7 linked regions of the Xenopus tropicalis genome follow. The protein of the gene in region 1 binds, or shares a complex with, the protein of each later gene. Links are inferred from orthologs where the notes say so. Each region holds a gene or a part of one and is shown in the gene's direction. Other genes may lie near its edges.

Evidence for each region.
Region 2: nup214 (region 1) and cetn3 share a complex: the UniProt entries of both Homo sapiens proteins name them as parts of the nuclear pore complex. The link is inferred for Xenopus tropicalis from reciprocal best matches to the Homo sapiens genes NUP214 and CETN3.
Region 3: nup214 (region 1) and nup160 share a complex: the UniProt entries of both Homo sapiens proteins name them as parts of the nuclear pore complex. The link is inferred for Xenopus tropicalis from reciprocal best matches to the Homo sapiens genes NUP214 and NUP160.
Region 4: nup214 (region 1) and nup98 share a complex: the UniProt entries of both Homo sapiens proteins name them as parts of the nuclear pore complex. The link is inferred for Xenopus tropicalis from reciprocal best matches to the Homo sapiens genes NUP214 and NUP98.
Region 5: nup214 (region 1) and nup93 share a complex: the UniProt entries of both Homo sapiens proteins name them as parts of the nuclear pore complex. The link is inferred for Xenopus tropicalis from reciprocal best matches to the Homo sapiens genes NUP214 and NUP93.
Region 6: nup214 (region 1) and nup205 share a complex: the UniProt entries of both Homo sapiens proteins name them as parts of the nuclear pore complex. The link is inferred for Xenopus tropicalis from reciprocal best matches to the Homo sapiens genes NUP214 and NUP205.
Region 7: nup214 (region 1) and nup107 share a complex: the UniProt entries of both Homo sapiens proteins name them as parts of the nuclear pore complex. The link is inferred for Xenopus tropicalis from reciprocal best matches to the Homo sapiens genes NUP214 and NUP107.

What each region holds. Positions count from the first base shown.
Region 1 is NC_030684.2:12,406,364-12,409,863, reverse strand, and holds part of nup214 (nuclear pore complex protein Nup214), read left to right. Parts: intron 1-1,410; coding exon 1,411-1,606; intron 1,607-3,365; coding exon 3,366-3,500. UniProt on the Homo sapiens protein: Part of the nuclear pore complex. Has a critical role in nucleocytoplasmic transport.
Region 2 is NC_030677.2:178,970,906-178,975,088, forward strand, and holds the start of cetn3 (centrin-3), read left to right. Parts: upstream 1-1,383; 5' UTR 1,384-1,409; coding exon 1,410-1,426; intron 1,427-2,809; coding exon 2,810-2,945; intron 2,946-3,986; coding exon 3,987-4,101; intron 4,102-4,183. UniProt on the Homo sapiens protein: Plays a fundamental role in microtubule-organizing center structure and function. As a component of the TREX-2 complex, involved in the export of mRNAs to the cytoplasm through the nuclear pores.
Region 3 is NC_030680.2:15,976,507-15,980,464, forward strand, and holds the start of nup160 (nuclear pore complex protein Nup160), read left to right. Parts: upstream 1-1,158; 5' UTR 1,159-1,173; coding exon 1,174-1,378; intron 1,379-3,958. UniProt on the Homo sapiens protein: Functions as a component of the nuclear pore complex (NPC). Involved in poly(A)+ RNA transport.
Region 4 is NC_030678.2:177,435,280-177,438,779, reverse strand, and holds part of nup98 (nuclear pore complex protein Nup98-Nup96), read left to right. Parts: intron 1-657; coding exon 658-881; intron 882-989; coding exon 990-1,259; intron 1,260-1,604; coding exon 1,605-1,762; intron 1,763-1,914; coding exon 1,915-2,058; intron 2,059-2,186; coding exon 2,187-2,335; intron 2,336-2,935; coding exon 2,936-3,157; intron 3,158-3,256; coding exon 3,257-3,498; intron 3,499-3,500. UniProt on the Homo sapiens protein: Plays a role in the nuclear pore complex (NPC) assembly and/or maintenance. NUP98 and NUP96 are involved in the bidirectional transport across the NPC. May anchor NUP153 and TPR to the NPC.
Region 5 is NC_030680.2:43,618,648-43,622,147, forward strand, and holds part of nup93 (nuclear pore complex protein Nup93), read left to right. Parts: intron 1-914; 5' UTR 915-927; coding exon 928-1,106; intron 1,107-1,824; coding exon 1,825-1,942; intron 1,943-3,500. UniProt on the Homo sapiens protein: Plays a role in the nuclear pore complex (NPC) assembly and/or maintenance. May anchor nucleoporins, but not NUP153 and TPR, to the NPC. During renal development, regulates podocyte migration and proliferation through SMAD4 signaling.
Region 6 is NC_030679.2:6,637,403-6,640,902, reverse strand, and holds part of nup205 (nuclear pore complex protein Nup205), read left to right. Parts: intron 1-2,033; coding exon 2,034-2,243; intron 2,244-2,355; coding exon 2,356-2,455; intron 2,456-2,535; coding exon 2,536-2,673; intron 2,674-2,774; coding exon 2,775-2,964; intron 2,965-3,483; coding exon 3,484-3,500. UniProt on the Homo sapiens protein: Plays a role in the nuclear pore complex (NPC) assembly and/or maintenance. May anchor NUP62 and other nucleoporins, but not NUP153 and TPR, to the NPC.
Region 7 is NC_030679.2:58,822,426-58,826,632, forward strand, and holds the start of nup107 (nuclear pore complex protein Nup107), read left to right. Parts: upstream 1-1,407; 5' UTR 1,408-1,465; coding exon 1,466-1,563; intron 1,564-1,689; coding exon 1,690-1,781; intron 1,782-2,661; coding exon 2,662-2,742; intron 2,743-3,714; coding exon 3,715-3,830; intron 3,831-4,207. UniProt on the Homo sapiens protein: Plays a role in the nuclear pore complex (NPC) assembly and/or maintenance. Required for the assembly of peripheral proteins into the NPC. May anchor NUP62 to the NPC. Involved in nephrogenesis.

The sequences.
Region 1 (3,500 bases):
TACCCTGTCAATGTGATCCAGTTGTTGGTCCAAGGTGGGCATATCTGGGAAAGATCCACTTATTTGGTGACCTTTCCAAACAAGGTGATCTTCTCCGGATCTTTTAGGTACAGGTATAGGACCCGTTATCCAGAATGCTTGGGACCAAGGGTATTCCGGATAAGGGGTCTTTCATAATTTGGATCTCTATACCTTAAGTCTACTAAAAAATCAATAAAACAGTAGATTGTAAGCTCTTTTGGGCAGTTCTCTCTTCACCTCTTGTATCGGTTATTGGTTGCTTTATATGTTACTCTGTATGTCCAATGTATGTAACCCACTTATTGTACAGCGCTGCGGGATATGTTGGCGCTTTATAAATAAATGTTAATAATAATAATAAACCCAATAGGGTTGTTTTGCATGCAATTAGGATTATCTATATCTTAGTTGGGATCAAGTACAGGTACTGTTTTATTATTACAGAGAAAAGGGAATCATTTAACCATTAAATAAACCCAATAGGGCTGTTCTGCCCCAATAAGGGGTAATTATATCTTAGTTGGGATCAAGTACAGGTACTGTTTTATTATTACAGAGAAAAGGGAATCATTTAACCATTAAATAAACCCAATAGGGCTGTTCTGCCCCAATAAGGGGTAATTATATCTTAGTTGAGATCAATTACAGGTACTGTTTTATTATTACAGAGAAAAGGGAATCATTTAACCATGAAATAAACCCAATAGGGCTGTTCTGCCCCAATAAGGGGTAATTATATCTTAGTTGGGATCAAGTACAGGTACTGTTTTATTATTACAGAGAAAAGGGAATCATTTAACCATTAAATAAACCCAATAGGGCTGTTTTGCCCCCAATAAGGGGTAATTATATCTTAGTTGGGATCAAGTACAGGTACTGTTTTATTATTACAGAGAAAAGGGAATCATTTAACCATTAAATAAACCCAATAGGGCTGTTCTGCCCCCAATAAGGGGTAATTATATCTTAGTTGGGATCAAGTACAGGTACTGTTTTATTATTACAGAGAAAAGGGAATCATTTAACCATGAAATAAACCCAATAGGGCTGTTCTGCCCCAATAAGGGGTAATTATATCTTAGTTGGGACCAAGTACAGGTACTGTTTTATTATTACAGAGAAAAGGGAATCATTTAACCATTAAATAAACCCAATAGGGCTGTTCTGCCCCCAATAAGGGGTAATTATATCTTAGTTGGGATCAATTACAAGGTGTACAGTTTTATTATTACAGAGAAAAAGGTAATTCATTTTAAAATTCTGAATTATTTGATTAAAATGGAGTCTATGGGAGACGGGCTTCCGTAATTCGGAGCTTTCTGGATAACGGGTTTCCGGATAAGGGATCCCATACTTTTACTAAAATTTTGTATCTTTTTGTCCTTACAGGATTTCCAGTTCCGACAGCTAAAAAAGATCCGACTGTTTGACTCTCCAGTAGATCTTCCCAAGGAACGCTCCAACCTGCTTGTGATCTCGAACAAGTATGGTTTTCTGTTCGTGGGAGGCCCTATGGGATTAAAGTTTTTCCACACAAAGGATGTTCTTGTAGCAGTCAGACCCGGGGAAGATGCAAATAAAATTGGTAATTTGATGTCTGTATAATATCATCAAAAGATGGTCAGTGTTACATGTGTTTGTTATAAAATTGGCATTTCATCCACACAAAGTTGGGTTCATATAAATCTTCTGCCAGGAACTTTAATGACTTTTATTATTGTTTTATTCATATAGAGCAGGGTTGGCCAGACTCGATCCAGTCTCGATCAACTGCACCGATGCGGAAGTGCGGCGTGCGAGCGTACGTTTGCATTCACAGAGCATTTCCGCATCCCCGGCTTGATCTCGGTCCACCAGAAATCCACGGGGGATCGACTGGTGGACCGCAATCGACATATTGGCCTCCCCTGATATAAAACCAACATATCCAGTAGCACTTTACAGAAATTGACACATCATTCCCATTAGTCCCTGCCCAATGAAATTTACACTTGGGGTATCAGGAGCCAATAAACCTGCCTGCTAAAGACAGCAGCAAGAGATCCTCTGCACTCACCCATTATCAAAATATACAGGCTGTGGCACACGGGGAGATTAGTCGCCCGCGACAAATCTTCCTGTTCGCGGGCGACTAATCTCCTTGAGTTGCCATCCCACCGGCGAACATGTAAGTCGCCGGTGGGATGGCACACGCGGCGCGATTTCGGCAAATCGCCGAAAAATGCCTCGCGAGGCGACAAATCTCCCCGTGTGCCAGAGCCCTAAGACATTCTCTGCATTAAGCTACCAAGACATGCCTTCCCCTTTAAACAAAACAGGGATTGTTTGGCGACATATTACAATATACTTCAAGCTGGCCAACCCTGGTCTGGCCAGTCCTCACTTTCATTTGAATCAATATGAATTCTTCTGCTTCATTTATACATTTTACACAGGGGCTTTTACCTGCAACCTGCTTGCTTTTAAGGTTAATATTTCCAAATGGAATGGGGATGACTTTAATGTAGTTGGTTTCTATAACCTGCCAGTATATTTTGGAGTGTGGGAGGAACCTGTAGTACCTGGAGTTTGATCCAGAAACATGGTTCAGAAGAGTGTCAGGCAGAATCATGGTCAAAACCAGGCTAGGAGACAGGACACAGCAAATAGGAATTAAAGGGTTAGGCAGGACTGTAGGGATACCGAGCTAGCTTTGGTATGGAATACAAGGTGGAAGGACCTTTTTTTAAATTTCAATTTGGTGCCAAAATGACATCACAGCTCCCATGTCCACCCATGTCCACCCATGTGCACCTATGTGCCAAGAGGTAGGGAGGTGCGCCAGATTTTACATAGACATACTGTACCTGGTTCCACAGACTGAATGGAAACCATAATAGCCTGTCTTTGACTCATACGAACCATTTCCCAATTAAAGTCCCTTTGCTCTCCAGGTAATCTGTACGGCACCCACAATGGCAGTACCAGACAGGGAGATCAGTCGCCCTACCACAAATCTTCGTAGCCGCGGGCGACTAATCTGCCCGCAATGCCATCCCACCGCCAAGAATGTAAATCGCCGGTGGCATGGCATACGCGTTGCTACAATTTCCTGATTTTTCCTCTCAACACAACTTCAGGATGCCATCCCATCGGCGATTTACATTGTTGCCGGTGGGATGGCATTTGGAAGTTTAGGTTTCTTGCAACTGAATGAGCTCAAAAAGTTGCTAAATTTATAAACACTAAGCAAAGTTTGAACCCAATCAACATTTGGACACTTTTTTTTTTTTTTTTTTAAAGAAAAACTTTTAACTACTATATTGCTGCATTTTAATATTGTTTTCTGTTACTTTCCTCTGCAGTTATGGGACCCCAAGGTATACACGTGCCTATGAGTTGTCCCATTCACCATTTGGCCCTGAGCTCTGACAATCTGACACTATCCGTCTGTATGACTTCTGCTGAACAGGGAACTTTTGTCTCCTTCTATGATGTTC
Region 2 (4,183 bases), on another chromosome or scaffold:
AACTGCATCAGAACTGAATAATTAACCCTGTTGAATCCACTTATATGACAGACATATGTCATTTTCTGCTTGATAATTTGCAATGACCCCTAAGCTCAGCTTCTCAACTGCCTCTCAGAGCTCACCGAACATGTGCACTGCCCCCGACAGTTCTAACAGAATCCAAAATGGGGAGCTCCTGTGACAACTGTAAAGACCTATATTATTACTACTATAGAGATGCTGAAACTTTTGGCTAATGTCAGACAAGGCGTATGGTGTATATTTTTGGCAACCTGAAAATGCCGTAAATGCCGCCATACACCTACTACCTGTGCCTGCATCCGAATGTATGTAATACGCCCGTGTGCAAGACTTTGCATTCTCTTGCGTTTTTATATGGGTATCGGCTACATGTGCCTGCACCCGAGCGTATTCTATTCATTCGGCCTGGTCTGACATTAGCCTTAAGCCAGGTACAGAAGAACAGGAACAGCACCTCTTGTCTTTGTAAATTAAAATGCCTTTATTGCAAAGTTTTTTGGGGCAAAGAACAACAGCAGCAACCTTTAGGTCTTATGTGACCTGAAACGTTGCTGCTGTTGTTGTTTGCCCCAAAAAACTTTGCAATAAAGGCATTTTAATTTACAAAGACAAGAGGTGCTGTTCCTGTTCTTCTGTACCAGGATATGCCGATGGAAAGTGGCCATTGGGGAACCTGCACTACTTCTAACTAATCACAAGGCTTAGTGCTGACTACTACTCTCCAAATTAGCCTTAAGCCAGTCCAGTCAGTTTTTTATATAAAATATGGCATTTCTAGCCATATTCATTTTTAGGGAATAGTTTACACTAACTGGCAACCACACAATTAAAATAAAAAAACGTGGAAGCTATTAGGGAGCATGAATTGCTGCTAAAAGGTATGAGTAAATCATCCAAACTAAGTATGTTACCAGATTTACACAGGAATGGGGTTACTATCAAAATATATTTCTATCATTTTTACTTTAAAATTCAGCCCTGATATGTGGGTTAGGTGGCAGCTCCCTTCATGCTTTAGCTCGCTGTAAGGTAGTGAAGCATGCCGGGAGGTGTACTATTCAAGCGTTACGGGGCCGCTTGCATTTCTCTCGCACTGTGCATGAGTTTGAGCTTCCCGCTCCTTGTCACACTCCAAGCGCCTTGTTACGTCACTGCCTAGTAACCAGCTCATTTTTCCGGCACCTCCCCCAAGCGCCTCACTGCTCTCCAATCACAAGGCGCTGTTAGTGCCAGGCTGATCCCGTTGCTAGGGGAGAAGTTGTAACGGTAGCCAATCGGAGGCGCTGCCTTGTGTTTACGAGGTGGCGCCTAGGCCTGTAAGTGGGACAGCAGCCCCGGCTGACCGAGGGAGTGTGGCAGCGCTGTGCGTCTGTAGCGGAGGAGCGATGAGCTTGGCTGTGAGGTGGGTGCATTGGAAGCACAAAGGAAAGGGGGTTCACAGCGCTGGAAGGCTGGGACCCCTATAGAGTTAGGTTTATATAAAATAGCAGTGTCCTATCTGTGCTACTTCCAGCTTTTGTTATACTGAAACTCTCAGCGCCACATGGTGATGGGGTTAGTTGCAGTTAAACAACAGCTGGCGAGCTGCAGATTGGATATTCTTTATTAATACACTAACAATTACAAGTGTAACGCCAAATAGGTCCTTTGCCATTTGACTTACCTTTTGTGCTCTGAGCCTCATGTATGTGTTCCTTTCCCCTGAAACTGTTACCCATCAGTCTCCCTTAGCAGGGGGCTATTTATTGGTGCACTTTGTGTCAGAACTTATCTTGTCTGTGTAAATGCCTTTGTAATGTGAAAGTGAAATATAAAGTGATTATATATATATTAGTGTGTATCAGAGTGGGGGCCGGCAGAGACAGAACTGGTACAGATGTTACACTGGATTCCATACACTTTTATTGGCCCATAGAGTGAATAAGTGTGCCAATACATGAGCAGTTTGGCTTTTCTTAAAAAGACAGTAACTGGTTGGCCCCTGACTGGATGCAAAACCGTAAACGGGTACATTTGGCTATTTGGCTCTCTGTGTGGGTGGCTGAACTAAGGGAGGATCCATGCAAATGTTGCCCTGACCACACAGGCAAGTCATTACGTGTATGGCAAGCTGCATATGGAAATGCTCTCATTTCTTGTATGTTTCTGTTCTGTTCCATCATCACAGCTGACTTATGCCGGGGGACAGGGATCTTTCACTAGAGACAACTCTGGGATTTTATGTTGGTGTTTCACTAGTGAACAAATCATTTTTGGGCTCATCTGTAAAAATGTACATTATCCTAAATTATGGGCCAGGAATAGTTTATATGAATTAGGGTGCGATTTAGGTACAATGCTTATTCCTTATTTAGGTAAACTAAATAAGGCTAAAAACCACCATTCCAGGTATTTACTACAGGTGTGCAGATCCTTGAATATAAACACTTTGTATATCTAGTTGTATCCCAGATTAGAACAGATTCCCAGGTTGGAACACAGTACATCTGTCCCACTTGTATTCCAAGTGTTTAGAAATGTCAGCTAACTAGATGAGGAGTTGTAACTACTTGGGGGTTGTAGTTCTGTAATACTTGAAAAGCCACATACTGCGCTAGCAGCAACAGCCTGTTATTTGTTTTGAAATATGCTGCACTGTGTGTTTAATGGCAACAGGAAGATCAAAAGGGCACAGCACACAAAGTGTTAAACAGTGCAACCACCACCAGGCCAGAGTAACAGGAAAATTCAGTTTCAGTGTTATGTGCTTTGTATGTTTTATGTTAGTAACTCACGTCTCTCGCAGGACTGATCTAGCAGTTGACAAAACGAAAAAGAAGAAAAGAAGAGAATTAACAGAAGAACAGAAACAGGAAATAAAAGATGCATTTGAATTATTCGATACAGACAAAGATAAAGCAATAGATTATCATGAATTAAAGGTAATAAAACTTTTTCCAAGATTTGGACTTGGTGTTCTTAGTGTTCTGCCAAGCTGAATCCATGCCATGGGGCTTTAAAGGAGGGAGTCATTAGGTGGGGGTGGCATGTTTGGGTGTAGAGGTTCTCTGTTTATCTGGCTGTGGGTAATTGCTTTACAGTGTCAGCTAGGGATCCAAGTGGTTTGCAGGTTAGATTATAAATTTGATGACAAGATGAGTTTTAGGGCTGTGACACACGGGGAGATTAATCTTCCTTGTCGCGGGCGACTAATCTCCCCGAAATGCCATCCCACCGACTAGAATGTAAATTGCCGATGGGATGGCATACGTGGCGGCGCGATTTGCCGATGTCGCCGAAGTTTCCCGTGTGTCACAGCCCTTAAATGATACTTAAAATGGCCTGACTCTCTGTTAATGGTTGATTGTATGGAAACGGGATAGGGTTGCCAACTTTTCTCTTGGGCAATACCAGCCGAGACGGAAAAGTGGCAGCATGATGATGTCTGAGGGCTTAAGGAGCTGTGATGTAAAAAAGGGGCAAGTTGTGATGCAGAGGTGGTGGATCAAGCAGTGATTGGGTGAGTAGGAGTAGGCAGGTTTATAGAGTGGTTGGGGGATACAGGGGAAGCGGGGAGAGGTGGTTGGTGCAGGCTGGGGATGTTATCAGTAGGGATTACAAATATAACAGTACATTTCAGTTTCCGTGTTGCTGGTGTCTTTTTTTTTTTTTTTTTTTTGTAATAAATATATATATATATATATAGATATATATAGAATAAAACACAGCCAGCACCAAGGGTCTTGTGGTTTAAACAAATTTCCGTGTTGCTGGTGTCTTTTTTTTTTTTTTGTAATAAATATATATATATATATATATATATATATATATATATATATATATATATATATATATAGATAGATATATATAGAATAAAACACAGCCAGCACCAAGGGTCTTGTTTATAATAAATAAAATACACGGCCTGCAAGGGTGATAGTAGGGTGAGTTTTTTCATACATAATCATGTATTTTATTTACAGGTAGCAATGCGAGCTCTGGGATTTGATGTAAAAAAAGCAGATGTCCTAAAAATCCTTAAAGACTATGATGGTGAAACAACAGGCAAAATTACATTTGATGATTTTAATGAAGTTGGTAAGTGGGAAAACATGACTGCAACATACCCTAAGTTATGCATCACTTTTAACAGCCACAAGCCAGATTCCCACCCAGTGAA
Region 3 (3,958 bases), on another chromosome or scaffold:
ATTAAAGTAACATAAAATTCAAATTAATTTCACATTTTTTTTACACAATATGTCATACTAGATAAAAAAATCTAGTACAACTTGTGCCACATTAAAGTCGGCATATGTTTTTGGACTTATTTAACTCCATTTTGTTGGAGTTGATAATGCAAATTAAGAAAGATGGATTAGACTGGTGAAATTTCGGAGAAGAGGGAAAAAATAGCATTCAGACAACTGTGAATTTACCATTCAGTTCTGTTGTAAATAAATATTTGACTCAAATTTCATCTTAATATCAATTTTATGAAATCCCTCCCTGGGCAGGCTATTGGTCAGAATGGTGGTGCAGTTCTAGCCTGCAGGATATTCCTTAATGGGCCTCAGTGTGGATTTTAGGAGCTCCCTTTACTGTAACTTCAGTCCCGGAAATACGACAACCTTAGCTGTAGGCGAAAATAAACACTTAGATTGTAAGCTCTACGGGGCAGGGACCTCCTTCCCACTGTGTCTCATACCACATGGCACTTATATATATATATATTTACAGTATACAGGGAGGAGCACACCCTATACAAGTCCAAATGCCCTTGGTGCAGGTCAAAAAACAAAAATATAATAGAAAGAGTGCCGCACACACAGGGACTTGATACAAAAGAAAAAGTGGTTTTATTGAAAAAATTCCAACGTTTCGAGCACAATCTGTGCTCTTCCTCAGGGACAAACCTGGTTTGTCCCTGAGGAAGAGCACAGATTGTGCTCGAAACGTTGGAATTTTTTCAATAAAACCACTTTTTCTTTTGTATCAAGTCCCTATGTGTGCGGCACTCTTTCTATTATATATATATTTACTGTATTTATTTATTATATCACTTGTCCTCCCTGTGTGTAATTTTGTATTCTGTAAGATTGTACAGCGCTGCGTACCCTTGTGGCGCTTTATAAATAAAGTTATACATAAATACATACATACTTTATTGATAATACAGCTTCTACTTGTTCTCAAGGTTACAGATAATATCACAGAGGCTCAGAAATAACTAAAGCTAACAGTAAAGCTCCATGGATATTACTGAGAATATTATATTTTCCACACTGTATCTGGCTATGCATTCTCTACTGTAAGCCGAAAGAGTTTTCAACACCAGAGAGCCAAGAAAAAATGTTTCCTGACTACTTTTGCCAGTATGAAACATGGCCGCGGCCGAAAGTCACATGACATCTTTTCAAGCAGAAGATTGGGCGGGAAGTAATATTCTTCCCATGGTGCAGCGCGCTGGCGGCTCCACACGGGGAATCATGGCGGCCTCTGTGAATCTAGAGAGAAGTTACATGGAATTGATTGGTGCCGAGCGGGAAACGTCAAGGAGGAATTTCAGGGATTTGAGTCTGCGCCCAGGTGCTGTATTGGTTGGCAGGGCTGCGGGCACTGGTCTGTCGCTTGGCTCTGGGGGGCGGTGGAGAGACCAGGGCCCACATGGTTCTATAGACTGACAGGAGTGGGGCAGGTCTGAGGCACTTTTCCTGCAATGGCCATCAGCACATGCGTCCCACTAATATATTGGCTACTCATTTACACTCATTTAGAAACTCTGGACGTTTTTGCGCCACTGTCTTAACACATAGTGTAGCTTTTATACTGCCTGACGCAAACTAGAAACTGAAATGCCTGGTTGCTATGGGTTACTGCACTGCTTATAGTAAATGAGCCCCAGTGTGTCTCTTGACGTGTAGGAACTGCCATACTTGGTGTCACTCTTAATTTACTGTCAGGGGTTGGATAGTGCCATGTGTATATACGTGTGTGTGTGTGTGTGTGTGTATATATATATATTATACAGGGAGGAGCGCACCCTATACAAGTCCAAATGCCCTTGGTGCAGGTCAAAAAACAAAATTATAATAGAAAGAGTGCCGCACACACAGGGACTTGATACAAAAGAAAAAGTGGTTTTATTGAAAAAATTCCAACGTTTCGAGCACAATCTGTGCTCTTCCTCAGAGCTGGTTTGTCCCTGAGGAAGAGCACAGATTGTGCTCAAAACGTTGGAATTTTTTCAATAAAACCACTTTTTCTTTTGTATCAAGTCCCTATGTGTGCGGCCCTCTTTCTATTATATATATAACTTTAGTAATGTAACAAAATATTATATATATATATATATATATATATATATATATATATATATATATATATATATATATATATATATATATATATATATACACAGTGGTGTGAAAAACTATTTGCCCCCTTCCTGATTTCTTATTCTTGTGCATGTTTGTCACACAAAATGTTTCTGATCATCAAACACATTTAACTATTAGTCAAAGATAACACAAGTAAACACAAAATGCAGTTTTTAAATGAGGGTTTTTATTATTTAGGGAGAAAAAAAATCCAAACCTACATGGCCCTGTGTGAAAAATAATTGCCCCTGAACCTAATAACTGGTTGGGCCACCCTTAGCAGCAATAACTGCAATCAAGCGTTTGCGATAACTTGCAACGAGTCTTTTACAGCGCTCTGGAGGAATTTTGGCCCACTCATCTTTGCAGAATTGTTGTAATTCAGCTTTATTTGAGGGTTTTCTAGCATGAACCGTCTTTTTAAGGTCATGCCACAACATCTCAATAGGATTCAGGTCAGGACTTTGACTAGGCCACTCCAAAGTCTTCATTTTGTTTTTCTTCAGCCATTCAGAGGTGGATTTGCTGGTGTGTTTTGGGTCATTGTCCTGCTGCAGCACCCAAGATCGCTTCAGCTTGAGTTGACGAACAGATGGCCGGACATTCTCCTTCAGGATTTTTTGGTAGACAGTAGAATTCATGGTTCCATCTATCACAGCAAGCCTTCCAGGTCCTGAAGCAGCAAAACAACCCCAGACCATCACACTACCACCACCATATTTTACTGTTGGTATGATGTTCTTTTTCTGAAATGCTGTGTTACTTTTACGCCAGATGTAACGGGACACGCACCTTCCAAAAAGTTCAACTTTTGTCTCGTCGGTCCACAAGGTATTTTCCCAAAAGTCTTGGCAATCATTGAGATGTTTTTTAGCAAAATTGAGACGAGCCATAATGTTCTTTTTGCTTAAAAGTGGTTTGCGCCTTGGAAATCTGCCATGCAGGCCGTTTTTGCCCAGTCTCTTTCTTATGGTGGAGTCGTGAACACTGACCTTAATTGAGGCAAGTGAGGCCTGCAGTTCTTTAGATGTTGTCCTGGGGTCTTTTGTGGCCTCTCGGATGAGTTGTCTCTGCGCTCTTGGGGTAATTTTGGTCGGCCAGCCACTCCTGGGAAGGTTCACCACTGTTCCATGTTTTTGCCATTTGTGGATAATGGCTCTCACTGTGGTTCGCTGGAGTCCCAAAGCTTTAGAAATGGCTTTATAACCTTTACCAGACTGATAGATCTCAATTACTTTTGTTCTCATTTGTTCCTGAATTTCTTTGGATCTTGGCATGATGTCTAGCTTTTGAGGTGCTTTTGGTCTACTTCTCTGTGTCAGGTAGCTCCTATTTAAAGCGGACCTGTCACCCTAAGAAATAAGTCCAAATTATTTTTTATATTGTTAGTTGAGCAAAATAAACTTTACTTACTCTATATAAATAATATAAATCTTGTTTCCTTCCGTCTTGGAATTACTCAGTCAAAGCAAGCAGGCAGGCACCATTTTGTGGACACTGTTATTAAGGCAAGCTTTGTATCACCCCAAAATATTGTGTATGTGCCAGAATGGGGGACCTGATGCCCAGGCCCATGCACTGGCTACACAATTAGATGAGAAGGAGGGGGGGGGAAGTGAGATGTGCAGTCTAGGAAGTGCTGAATGGAAAGCTAAAGTTATTGTCTGCCCCGCCTCTATGCCTAAGGCATAGAGGTGGGGCAAGCAATATATGATTGACAGCTGTGATTTTTAAATGCCTTTATAATGGGTTTGGATGTGTTAATATAAAAATGAATTTGGGTTTCATG
Region 4 (3,500 bases), on another chromosome or scaffold:
CAGACTCAGGCACACTTTACTGCTGTGCTGCAAGTTGGAGTGATATCCCCCACCTCACCCCCAGCAGCCGATCAGCAGAACAATGGGAAGGGAGCAAGATAGCAGCTCCCAGTAGGTATCAGAATAGCACTCAATAGTAAGAAATCCAAGTCCGGCTTGGGACTCCTCCAGTTACATGGGAGTAGGAGAAACAATAGGTTAGCTGAAAGCAGTTCTAATGTGTAGCGCTGGCTGAAAGCTCAGACTCAGGCACACTTTACTGCTGTGCTGCAAGTTGGAGTGATATCCCCCACCTCACCCCCAGCAGCCGATCAGCAGAACAATGGGAAGGGAGCAAGATAGCAGCTCCCAGTAGGTATCAGAATAGCACTCAATAGTAAGAAATCCAAGTCCGGCTTGGGACTCCCCCAGTTACATGGGAGTAGGAGAAACAATAGGTTAGCTGAAAGCAGTTCTAATGTGTAGCGCTGGCTACAGTAAAACACAAAGCCCCTATAAAGGATACAGTAGATTAATTGCATAGTTTGGGGCCTGACATGTTGCCAGTCCCGTTCCCCACAGGGCATTTGGCTTTCTGGGTATGTGTAGCAGTGAGCCCAGTTAGTAGGGTTTGTGGGGTTACAGTGTGAGTAAGAGATGTCTCGTTGCTCTTTGTAGTCTCACAGAGTCGCCCTTTAAAGTTCACGTGGAGAAGCTGAGCCTGGAGCAGAAGACCAAAGACCTGCAGTCCTACTTGCTGCCGCTGGAGATAGAGCTGAAGAACAGCACCGTGGACAAATCCGGCCCATGCCCCCACTTCAGGCCCAACCCAGGAGTCACTGCCATTCACGACTATGCCGGCTGGGTCAGGAACTTCTCCAGTGAAGCCGCAGAGGTTGAAGGTGAGTTAAGAACAACGTGGGCCCTTCCCTAGTGTCCCCGCCCACTAGTGCAGTGCCCGCCCCTTCTGTTATCCCAGCGCAGTCACCGTTGGTTTCTCCCTTACACAGCGGTGGTGAAACAGTGGGGCTTGACATGGACCTTGTGTGAGTCCCTGTGGGGCCAACTGAAGGAGCTGGAGGCCAGTCTCGATGAGCCAAACGAGTACGTGAAGAACCTTGAGAGGCGGAAGGCTTTCTCCCACTGGCTGGCACAGACGGCCCAGGAGCGGATAGAGGAAGAGGTGTCTCTGTACGGCCCAGAGCGGCACATCGAAGCGGTGTTTAGCTACCTTACCGGGGGCAGGATCAGCGACGCGTGCCGCCTGGCACAGAAATCTGGTGAGTGTGACCCCTTTCTCCCAGGGAATCGCCCGGTTTTGCCTCTGGAAATAGTTCCTTAGGCCTGAAACTGCAGGAAAAAGCAATATATTTACATGTGATGTATATGGATTCAGGGCATTTCTAATAGATATATCTCTGTGATATATAGGATATTTTATATCTAATCTCTATCTATCCAGTAGATCTCCCATCTATCTATATATCTGTATAATAGAGCCTTCCCTCACCAGTAGTAGAACCTGGTGCCGATAGTGTCCCTCAGACTCTAGCAAAGCAGATGGGGCCCTGGAGTGAGCAGTGTGAGTGCCGTATTTCTGACCCAGGCTATTCCTACCCCTGCAGGGGATCACAGGCTGTCCCTCCTGCTCTCTCAGATGGTGGGCAGCCAGGAAGTGCGGGATCTCATAACCCTACAGTTGGTCGACTGGAACAAGCTGCAGGTGGATCACTACATCCAAGAAGAGCGGTTGCGCGTGTTCTGCCTGCTCTCGGGCACCCCGGTAAGTCATTATTTGGCTAATTACGTCTTATGTATTGGTCTCATTATGTTGGAAAACCATTGGCATATACAGGATCCTTCTAATGGGGCCCTCTGATTGGCTCCTGTGTGTATTTACGGCTTGCTCTCACTGTTGTTCCTGTGTGCCCCTAGGTGTGGCGCTCTTCAGATAACAGAAGCATCAATGTCTGCTCTCAGTTGGACTGGAAGCGAACGCTGGGCATTCATCTGTGGTACATGCTCCCACCCACCGCCACCGTGGCACAGGCCTTACACATGTACGAGCAGGCCTTTCAGGTAAGGAGTCTGCCTCCTAATGGGGCAAATCCAGTACTGCAGCCGTCTAATGGGGCAGCACCGATTGCACCCAAGTTAATGGGATGAATTTGTACTAAATCCTGCTTTTCTCTCTGTAACATTGGCAGGAACAGGAGGGCGGGGAGCCTTACGCCTGCTACCCTCTGCCCCCCTATTTGGAAGACTGCGGCTTCAGCTTTGGGGATGACCCTTCTGCTAAATTCTGCTCCCTGCAAAGAGACGTCTGTGTCCATTTGCTGAAACTGTACAGTGAGAGGTAAGCGAGGCCTTTACACACATGTTATGCCTGCAATTATGCATGATTTAGTGTCTATAAGCTCAGTCCCAGACTGCAGGCAGTATCTTGGTGCTTGTCTGTATACTGTACAGCACTGCCAGATGCCCTGTAGGGGGCGCAGTCTGTAACTGGGTACCTGAGAGGCAGTGTCTGTGCTGAGCTGGGAGTATCCTGTGTTGGCCTTTCCCAGTCCCTTAGGGCTGATTGGTGCTTATAGTAAATGAAGGTGCCCATACATGGGCAGATCGGGTCCTTCAGACCCATTTGGCAACTTATGTGCTCATGTATGGGCACCACAGATGGGTCTACCCAATAGATATCTGGTCTAAAATTGGCCAGATATTGATTGGCATGGGGGCCCCCACTACTCGTTGATGCAGTCCCTGATCCAACAGCGCCTATGCCCGCCTTTGTTACTCGATCATTTGTCCCTTGGGCCAAACAATCAAATTAGCCCAGTATTGCCCAATGTAGGGTGGTACTTACCATCTATGGCCGCCTATAAGGAATGAAATGGTTGTATTGCAGTGATTCTATTGGCTCCTGGATTCACTTGGAGTTGTGTGTGTTTTTGCCCAGGCAGTATGATCTTTGCCAGCTGCTAGACCCCAGCAGTGCCACCCCCGACCCCCTGGACTACAGGCTCAGCTGGCACATGTGGATGGTCCTGCAGGCTCTGAATTATACCCATCTGTCTGGGCATCGCCAGGGGATGCTGCACGCCAGTTACGCTGCCCAGCTGGAGAATGTGGGGCTCTGGGAATGGGCCATATTCGTACTGCTGCACATCCAGGATCCGCAGTAAGTGATTGGCCGCTTGTGTCTGGGCGCCAGTCTGGCCCCCTCTGTAGAACCCCCGGCAGCTGGAACTGAACCCTCTTTCTCCTTCTGCCCGTGCAGCGTCCGTGAAGCAGCCGTCCGGGAGTTGCTGAATAGGCACTGCGTTGTGCACGACAGCCCCGAGTCCCTGGCCAAAGAGAACTTCCTAATTCAGAGACTCTGCCTCCCAGCACAATGGATCCACAAAGCGAAAGCGGTCCGCTCCCGGCGGGATGGGGACAAGCATAAAGAGGCCTTGTATTTACTCAAGAGCCACCAGTGGAACCAGTGCCACAAACTGGTGACCCGCCACTTGGCCGCAGGT
Region 5 (3,500 bases), on another chromosome or scaffold:
GTTGTACATTATGTTTTGGCCTTCTGTACCAGCCCAAGGCGACCACAGCCTTTTAGTAGGGAAGATCAGTGCCTCCAAAGATGCCCAGTAGCTTCCCATCTTCTTTTTTGCTGATTCACTGCACATTCTCTGTGCTGCTTTCAGTTAGGGACCGGCTCAAAATATATTACATAAATAAAAATATAAATTTAACAGTAAAAGGCTGATCTGAAACCAGGGCAATTGCATCTAATTGAAAAATTAGCCCTGTAGCATCAGCTTCTATGACAAACCTAATTTTCTGCTTGAAAATTTGCAGCAACCCCTAAACTTTTCAACTGCTGCTCAGAGCACACTGAGCATGTGCACTGTCCCAGACAGATCTAACAGAATCCAAGATGAGGAGCTCCTGTAAAGACCTATGTCATTACTACTACAGAGATGCTGAAATTTTAAAGCCAGTGCAGTCAGTTTATTATATAAAGTATGGCATTTCTAGCCATATTAATTTTTAGGGTTTAGTTTTCCTTTAATACGCTGAACCTTTCTGCTAGTTCTAAAACATGGCTTGACATTTCGGACCTCCAGAAGTAATTGGATTTCATCTGCATATAAAGCTACCTTTTCATCCAATCTCCTACACTTGAGCCCGATGATATTAGGGGACTGGTGGACCATTATGGCATAGGTTATCGAGGAAATAAAAAATGATACCTATACCTAATTTTTCAAATACTTTCCATAAATATGACTATTTGACCAAGTTAAATGCTTTGGTGGCATCCAGAGATGCCAGAACTCTGAAGCTGGAATTGTGGCGATCAATTTGAAGGTATATATATAACCTTCTCAAGTTGATGGCATTGCTTTTACTGGGCATAAAGCCTGTTTGGAAGTGCATTGTAATAGTATACTCTATATGCTCTGTTTTGCAGATCTCCTGTGACAATGGATGGAGAAGGGTTTGGAGAGCTTCTGCAGCAGGCTGAGCAGCTTGCTGCAGAAACAGAAGGAGTTACTGAACTACCTCATGTAGAGAGGAACCTACAGGAGATCCAGCAGGCTGGTGAGAGGTTGCGCTCCAAAACCATGACTCGCACTTCTCAGGAGTCAGCCAATGTGAAAGCGTAAGTACCAGTTATTTTTGATTAAGGACTGTCACATGGTATTTTGATAACTTATAACTTTGCTAAAGAAGCTTGGGTTTCATCCCATAAGGCCAGTTATTTTTGGATGATGATCGCAATACAGGCAAACTTTGGAAAAAAATTCTGATCATGGTAATTGAAAGATCTACTACAGGCATTTTGAGCACAGCTTCAAGTAGCAATTACTAAACAACCCTTTTAATAAATGCTGCATGAATAAATGTGGTGTTTTTTTCCTAGGAGCAACATTACAGAGGAATACTAGGTTGTAAAGTGGTTGCTTTACACATGGCACCGATGATGTTTATGAGGAAAGGTGCTGAGAAAGGGCTTTCAGGTTTTGGATGTGAACAGTAGTGACTATAAGGTTGTGGAGTGAAATCTTAGTACAGTGGAGGGCAGTGTAGCAAAATATATTCTTTTGCATAGGTTGGTGGGCACAGGCAACCATTGAGATAAAGACCCTGCAGACTTTAAACAATGACTCCTGCTCAGGGCCTGACCAAGTTGGGGCTGGTGGATTTTTGTGAAGCGCTAGTCTGATTTAATTCATTGGGGGTGCCTAACTTATTGCCAATTTATTAGCCTTTCATTTTATGGTAAGTACAAAACTCCCTTTTTCAGAACATTCTATATATTACTTAAATGTTGGACAGTATATAGTAATAAATATACCGCTTTTTTATAATTATTAAAGGTCTGTTCTGCTGGGATCAAGAGGTCTTGACATCTCTCACATTTCCCAGAGGCTTGAGAGTCTTAGTGCAGCCACAACATTCGAGCCTTTGGAACCTGTTAAAGACACGGATATCCAGGTAAAGGGGCCTTATCTACTTTAAATGGTAGAGAAAATGGTGAGGAATGTCCATTTAGTCTTAAAAAGACAAGTTAAATAAATAGAATGGTTGTGCAACCTTAAAGAACATGTGAAGGCTACATTTGCCTACAATGTATATCAGTTGGGCACATCCCCCTCACCCATTTGTACTGCATATATCCCCTGTGCTTGCCAGCACCATCACATTTTCCTAAACCAAATAGCAGCTTTCACCCGGTGGCCATTTTTCGTCTGATTACAGGCTCAAGAATACAGGCATACACACAGGCACAACTGTCTTTGATAAAAGTTCTGCTTTGTTTGAGCTGAGTTCAGGAGAGTTGGTTGGGAGAAAAAAAATTGAAGCAGACAGCTAGAGCTGAGTTTCTATGGGAACCAGCAATGCCATCTCTTCGCTGGCTGCTAGACTGGGGGGCATGTTTAGTAATCTGAGCTTAGAACAACTGAGCATGCCCACAAGCCAAAGCAAATTCTTGAGGGAGGGGGCTGAGTGGGTTACAGGAGGAGAACAAATCTAAGTAATTAAGGGAATGTTGCAGCCTTACTATTAACCCCTGGACAACCAGTGTGGCAGGTATTGAAAGATTTTAAAGAGGCTGTTCACTAATTACATTTTTGTGTGTGGGGTTTACATGTCCTTAAATCTGCTAATAGCCGGGATAGGCAAATTTTGGGTAAATGACATGTTTTGTCAAAGAAATTTTAGGGGTTAACTAACTTAACAGTGGATATATGTATTTATATATGTGTGTATATATACAGTATATATTTACTGTTTTGCTAAATTTAGACTAGAAAACAATTACATTTGGTATGTGCAAAATTTTAGTGGTGCTGCATCCTACAGTGCAGTATTAAAGGGTTGGTTTACCTTTAAGTCAACGATCCCCAACCTTTTATACCTGTGAGCCACATTCAAATGGAAAAAGTGTGGGGGAGCAACACAAGCATGAGAAAGATTCCTGGGGGTGACAGTAAGAGCTATCATTGGCTATGTAGCCCCTATGTGCACTGGGAGCCTACAGAAGGCCCTGTTTGGCATTATACTTGGTGAACATGTTCACTAGCCACTGCTTGGGGAGCACTGCGCTTTGAGTTAACAATTAGTATGTTATAGAAAGGCTAATTCTAAGCAGCTTTTCAGTTGTTACTTATTTTACCTTTTGAATGATTTGCCTTGTACTTTTGACTCTTTCATGGGGTTAATGACCCCAGTATTTAAAAAACTTGCTTTGCGCGGCTACAATTTAATTATTATTGCTACTTTTTATTATTTTTGTTTTTATTCAGGCTTCTCCTATTCATATTCTAAGCTCTCATTCAAATCACTGCCTGGTTGCTAGAGTAATTTGGACCCTAGCCAGATAGCTGTCAAAAATCCAAACTGGAGAGCTGGTGAATAGAAAGCTAAAATAACTTATAAAACACAAATAATATAAAATGAAAACCAGTTACAAATTGTCTCAGAATATCCCTCTTTACAACAAAAGTTAATTTAATGGTAAACAACACCTTTAACTGAACAATATGATCTT
Region 6 (3,500 bases), on another chromosome or scaffold:
CAGCTTATTGTGTGCCCAGAACATTCCCTCTCTGTATATTTGTATTTATACATATGGGTAGGGGGTGCCATAGTGTTTCCCTTAGACAGTACAGTATGGGGGTACAGCTTATTGTGTGCCCAGAACATTCCTTCTCTGTATATTTGTATTTATACATATGGGAGGGAGGTGCCATAGTGTTTCCCTTAGACAGTACAGTATGGGGGTACAGCTTATTGTGTGCCCAGAACATTCCTTCTCTGTATATTTGTATTTATACATATGGGTAGGGGGTGCCATAGTGTTTCCCTTAGACAGTACAGTATGGGGGTACAGCTTATTGTGTGCCCAGAACATTCCTTCTCTGTATATTTGTATTTATACATATGGGTAGGAGGTGCCATAGTGTTTCCCTTAGACAGTACAGTATGGGGGTACAGCTTATTGTGTGCCCAGAACATTCCTTCTCTGTATATTTGTATTTATACATATGGGTAGGGGGTGCCATAGTGTTTCCCTTAGACAGTACAGTATGGGGGTACAGCTTATTGTGTGCCCAGAACATTCCTTCTCTGTATATTTGTATTTATACATATGGGTAGGAGGTGCCATAGTGTTTCCCTTAGACAGTACAGTATGGGGGTACAGCTTATTGTGTGCCCAGAACATTCCTTCTCTGTATATTTGTATTTATACATATGGGAGGGAGGTGCCATAGTGTTTCCCTTAGACAGTACAGTATGGGGGGGGGGGGTACAGCTTATTGTGTGCCCAGAACATTCCCTCTCTGTATATTTGTATTTATACATATGGGTAGGGGGTGCCATAGTGTTTCCCTTAGACAGTACAGTATGGGGGTACAGCTTATTGTGTGCCCAGAACATTCCTTCTCTGTATATTTGTATTTATACATATGGGAGGGAGGTGCCATAGTGTTTCCCTTAGACAGTACAGTATGGGGGTACAGCTTATTGTGTGCCCAGAACATTCCTTCTCTGTATATTTGTATTTATACATATGGGTAGGGGGTGCCATAGTGTTTCCCTTAGACAGTACAGTATGGGGGTACAGCTTATTGTGTGCCCAGAACATTCCTTCTCTGTATATTTGTATTTATACATATGGGAGGGAGGTGCCATAGTGTTTCCCTTAGACAGTACAGTATGGGGGGGGGGGTACAGCTTATTGTGTGCCCAGAACATTCCTTCTCTGTATATTTGTATTTATACATATGGGTAGGGGGTGCCATAGTGTTTCCGTTAGACAGTACAGTATGGGGGTACAGCTTATTGTGTGCCCAGAACATTCCTTCTCTGTATATTTGTATTTATACATATGGGTAGGAGGTGCCATAGTGTTTCCCTTAGACAGTACAGTATGGGGGTACAGCTTATTGTGTGCCCAGAACATTCCTTCTCTGTATATTTGTATTTATACATATGGGTAGGGGGTGCCATAGTGTTTCCGTTAGACAGTACAGTATGGGGGTACAGCTTATTGTGTGCCCAGAACATTCCTTCTCTGTATATTTGTATTTATACATATGGGTAGGGGGTGCCATAGTGTTTCCCTTAGACAGTACAGTATGGGGGTACAGCTTATTGTGTGCCCAGAACATTTCTTCTCTGTATATTTGTATTTATACATATGGGTAGGGGGTGCCATAGTGTTTCCCTTAGACAGTACAGTATGGGGGTACAGCTTATTGTGTGCCCAGAACATTCCTTCTCTGTATATTTGTATTTATACATATGGGTAGGGGGTGCCATAGTGTTTCCCTTAGACAGTACAGTATGGGGGTACAGCTTATTGTGTGCCCAGAACATTCCCTCTCTGTATATTTGTATTTATACATATGGGTAGGGGGTGCCATAGTGTTTCCGTTAGACAGTACAGTATGGGGGTACAGCTTATTGTGTGCCCAGAACATTCCCTCTCTGTATATTTGTATTTATACATATGGGTAGGGGGTGCCATAGTGTTTCCGTTAGACAGTACAGTATGGGGGTACATTCCTTTGCGATAATCCAAGATTTGACATTGGCTTTAACCAGGTGGAACTGAATGAGATCGAGTCTCGGTGTGAGGAGTACCCCCTGACCAGAGCATTCTGCCAGCTCATTAGCACTTTAGTGGAGAGCTCCTTCCCCACCAATCTGGGAGCGGGTTTGAGAGCACCCGGCTTTGAGCCATACCTCCAGTTTCTACGGGACACTGTGTTCCTTCGGTTCCGCACTAGAGCCTACAGGAGAGGCGCAGAAAAGGTAATTAATGATATTTATGCTTACGTGCATTCTGGGGTTTGGGTATTACTGGGATACCACCTTGAACCCATGTATTTTCCTCACTTATGTATTTATGCCTCTGTGTTTGCAGTGGGAGGTAGCAGAGGCTGTACTGGATGTCTTCTACAAGCTTTTGAAGGACTATGAGCCCCAGCCTGAAGACTTTGTGGACCAGTATGTGGAACTCCAAGGTATGTTTTGCCTTTTCAGCCGGTTTATAGAATTGACAATAAAAAGGCAACATCATTTTACCGTTCATGTCCTGTTTTAGGAGAAGAAAGAGTTGCTTTCAAGCCCCCGGGGTTCAGCCTCATGCATCACCTTCTCAATGATTCTCCGATGCTGGAGCTCTGCCTCAGCCTCATGGAAGAGGGGGTCACCCAGCTGGACACTTACGCCCCTTTTCCAGGTAATCGTCCAGTCTTTTACACTAAAACAGAACTTTGAGCTTTTGCCTTTAGACAGAACATAAGTACAACCTATTAAATATATGTATTCCTTCTTTCCCAGGCAAGAAACACCTAGAGAAAGCAGTGGCTTATTGTTTCATGCTCCTCAATCAGACTCTGCAGAAGGAGAATCGCTTCATGGATTTGTTGAGGGAAAGTCACCTGTCGTTGATTGTGACCCCTCTGGAGCAGCTCCTGCAGGGAATTAACCCACGATCCAAGAAAGCTGATAATGTCATCAATATTGCTCGGTGAGTGGGTCCTAAAGGTGGCCATACACGTAAAGGTCCGCTCGCCTGGCAAGGGATCTTCTCGCGATATCCCCACCTACGGGTGGGCAATATCGGGGGAATTTAGGCTAAATCGGTCGTTTTGCCCTGGGACCAAACGATCGAATTATAACAACTGTAATGGGTGCAGTCGGTTCGGGGACCGCACCAACGAGCTGATGCGGTCCCCGATCCGACTGGATTTTTTAACCTGCCCGATCAATATCTGGCCGATTTCAGGCCAGATATCGGTCGGGCAGACCTGTCGTTATTGCCCCTACACAGGCTGATAAGCTGCCGAATCGGTCCAAGGGACACTTATCAGCAGCTACAATCGGCCCGTGTATGGCCAATTAAGACTGCAGTCTGACAACATGGAAGGCTAGATGTCGCCCACCTCTTTGGTCATTAATGCACACCCATTATCTCTAGTTCACGCCTTTTACATGCATCAGTTACATGCCTTCCTGATCTTACTGAGTGCTTCTCTGTATCCTTCAGATATCTCTACCATGGGA
Region 7 (4,207 bases), on another chromosome or scaffold:
CAAGAGTTCCCCTCAGGTAGCACTACCTGCCCCAGAGTACCTTCCCCTATGGAAAGGTTGCTGCTCCCACGTAGCAGGCAAGCAAGCAATAACTGTTCTCACCAGGGGACACACACTGATTCCACAGAGGACTTTGTAATCACTGGCAACCCTGCAGACTCTTCTCTTTTCAATCTGAACTAACAACAAGTGGTACTGGCTGCTCACTCTGTATCTCTCTTCCCAAAAAAACCAGCAAAACAACAGGGGCTCCCTTTATCAACTGCTGGACCCGCCCCTTGATTTTTGGCTCCAAACTTAAGCACACCTCCTCCCAGACTGCACTGGGACATCCAGCCAATCGAGTTCTCTGATCCCCTACACATGAATGCTACAGGTACTGCTTTTGCCAACTCCTGGTCTGGGATCTCTTACCCCCTGCCCCTGATGCTCCACCCCCACAAAGTCTGCACACCTTGCGCGCAGCACTTCCCCCCCTTCACAATGTCCACGTGCATTCATTCACAGATGGGGTTGCAGCGGGGGTGAGGTGGTCGGCCAGGTTGCCTAAAGGTGGCAATACAATTATGCAATTATGCTATTTCCTGCGACCACTTTCATTCAAAGCTGAATTGTCAGATATGGAGGTATCCAATCTACCGATTCAGCCTTTAACGTAGATTTTGCAGCCTTTGGGTTATTAGTTTATAAGGTTATTAGTCTCATCAATCGCCAGCTTAAAGCTTGGCCTGCCTCTAAGTCTTCTACTAAATCAGCCCTTAGTTTGCACAAAACCACCAGAACCCTCAAAGTACAAAAAAACCCCTAAAAACATGACCTCATTTCACTTGGCCCTAGTTTTCACAATAACTCTTCCCTTTTTGGTCAGACTGGGAGAAAAGGTTCTGACGGCAGCCGGTACCGTTAGCAACCAGGAAACTCTTTTTTAGCTCCCTGGCAATGACAAGGATCTCTGAGCAGAAAAGATAATTGACTTGGAGGAAATATTGAGATTCGAGGTGGAGGAGAGCAATCACCTCCTAAGAAGAGTCTTTTTTTTCCCTTTTTGTTCTCCAACAAAAGTAGGAAGTGCGAGCAGAACAAATCCAAGCTACTTATTAGCAGCTACCAATTGTGTAACGCCGCCTTACTGGGTAGCGCACTGTCTCTGCTCGTCACTCCCATAAGGCGGCTACGTGATGCGTCACGACGCTTGCGTGTAGTTGTACGTCACAGTCTCGCGTGAGGAGACATGTGGAGTCGGGATTTTCTGTAAGACAGGAGGCTAGGAGCTTGCAATTAACAGCTTTACGGGAGGAGTAAGTAGCAAAGGTGTAAGTAGCAATCTGCGGCTGCTGGCTGTGTTACGAAAATCGGGATCGACAAGCGGGACTGTTGGGTAGTATTCAGTTAGGGGTTAGTCAGGGTCCCTGCTGTCAGTACGCTGCACACTTTGAATGGGAGGGCGGGAGCTTACGGTACCTACATGTTCTCTCTCTGCAGCTTTCGGTACTTCTGGCTTATTCACAGAAGTTTTAGTCCCGTTCTATTGAGTAGACTGAAGGACTGTTCTCCCTCTAGCCTGTATGTATCGGTCTGCTAGACTTTTCTGTTACATGTTTGCAACCTTGTGTGCATCATAGCGGGACTTTCTCACAGAATACACATCGAACATAGGAAGGACTGACCCCGTGTTGTGCTCTCTTGCAGCAGGACCAGCATGGATATGCTTTCGCCGGTAGTGCGGGAGGCAGAGGTTTCTAGAGCAGCTCGCCGCCAAAGCTCCAACAGGAGGAATCCTGGTATCCTTTTGTAATGTGAACTATCATCACAAATCACTGGTGTCCCCAATAATATCAAACGGGAAGGCTTTTGATCAAACAAAAATGACATTGGAAGTTAACAGAAATTTTTGGTTGTCATTTATCTATTACTATAATTTCTTTGTGATTAGTGTTTATGTTTTGCATGTCATTTTTTTCTAAAATCAATGGAAGGGCCCCTCCTTTATTGAGTCCCCTTTGTTTTAAATGGTTAAGGCTTCATTTTTAAATCTGTGTTGATTAAATGTGATAGTATATTTAAGTTTGCAGTGTCTGAGTATTACTCTAATTAAGGAAATAACCCATCGTAGGAGTAGGTTGGGTGGGTTTTTATTAATATTAACAGGCTGTTTATGGACCACAGATGTTTGATAGCAGTACCTGCACCAAAAACACAGTAATAGGCCTTTTATTGTCTTTGATGGGTTAATTTAATAAATGCGTCTTGTCTTGTAATCCATAGGAGCCAATCAGCATGTAGCACTTACTGCTATGGGTTAATATGTGTGACCAAACTTAAGCCTTTATTACATTATCCTACATGTCTCTAAAGCAAATAACATGGTTAACCCTGTCTCTTAGGCATTCCCCGTCATGACTCCCTGACTTTTTGCCTTACATGAATGCAACAGAACCAGTATTGCACTTTTTTGTTCTTTTTTTGTTCTGAGGCTATGCATGGGCAATGCAATTACAGTGTAATAAGAAACGCAAACAACAATAATGATTAGTTACTTTAAGCTGGAAAGTCGGCTAATATTTTCCCGGTGCTTGCTTGTTTCCCTGGTACTGTTTAGAGAGGAAATATTGAACTGATTCCAGAAAAAGCTTTTGTTGCCACACTTAACGTCTTGCCTAGCTGATGAGAGCTGGAGCAATGCAACACCAGCAAGAGGCCCATTATCTCGCACAACAGGACAAACACTATTTCGACAGCACAGTAAGATGTTTATATATAAACTGGGTCTGCAGTTGATAATCATGGGCTTGTTTGATTCATCTTGTAGAAACTGTCCCACTGACTTGTGTTTTACAAATATCAGCATTCAGTCATGGTTATTATAAAATTCAGATGAGTTTGTATAGTAACCTGCTTGTGTAGACATTTTGGTTAAGGGCATTCTTGCTGTTTTGCCATTTCTTGATGATGATATTCCTATTCCTGTCTTGTGCTTCCTGTTAAGCTGAGAGCAGGCCAAATCTACCTGCCATGTTCTAATAAATATACCAAAAGTTCCAGTGTGTATCTGACTACTTTACCTGAACTAACACAGCCGCAGTATTAACCCACTGCTAGCCAGCAGTTTATTACAGTGGGGGCGAGGATGAGATTTATAATGCTGAGAGAGGGTCTCTCGAACTACAGCTCTGACAAAATCCTTAAGCCATATCTTGAAAAGAGAGATGAGCTTTCCATAGATCAAGGTTGTTTACTGTGGGGGATACGGGTTGTCATTCCCCCTAAAATATCGTCAGAGGCTCTTGCATGAACTTCACGAAGGCCATCCAGGTGTAAACAGGATGAAAGCACAAGCTTGTGGTTACCTGTGGTGGCCAGGCCTGGATCAAGATATAGAATTTTTTGTAAGTCAGTGTACTGCTTGTGCTTCTGTAACACGAGCTCGTGCTTTCATCCTGTTTACACCTGGATGGCCTTCGTGAAGTTCATGCAAGAGCCTCTGACGATATTTTGGGGGAATGACAACCCGTATCCCCCACAGTAAACAACCCTTATCTATGGAAAGCTCATCTCTCTTTTCAAAATATGGCTTAAGGATTTTGTCAGAGCTGCAGTTTATTACAGTTTGGATATAAGAAAAAAGTAATACTGAACATAGTATTTATGCTGTGAAAGTCTTTTTTTTTTTTTTTTGCTTTCTGGTATGTAAATGTACTTTTCACCTTTACCTAGTGACGCCACAAACCTGGAATTCTTCAAGGCCACCAGATGTTTCGGCAATACTGGGCACTGTAGGGCGATCACCTCGCTTGGTACAGACTCCTGGGCGTTTGGCAAACATGTCTATGGTAAGACAATCCATTCTACAGAAGGCATTAAGGCGGCACAACACAGGCAGATTTCAGCTGCCGATTCAGGTCCTTAAGGCCTTAGGGGCAGCTTATCTGCCCGTGTATGGGAACCCCCGACAAGCCTAGCCAACTGACATCTGGCCTAAAATTGTGCAGATTCCGACAGGTTTGATTTTTCCATTGGATGAACAAGCCGATGCGGTCCTCGGTCCGACGGCACTGTCTAATTGGCCCAATATTGCCCACCTAAGGTGGGTAATTGGAAGAAGATCCGCTCTTTTGGTGACCTTGCCAAACCAGTGAATCTTACAGTGTATGGCCACCTTTAGTCTTCAGTTTCTCTTTCATGTGATTTATCCTATACGTATTTTGTG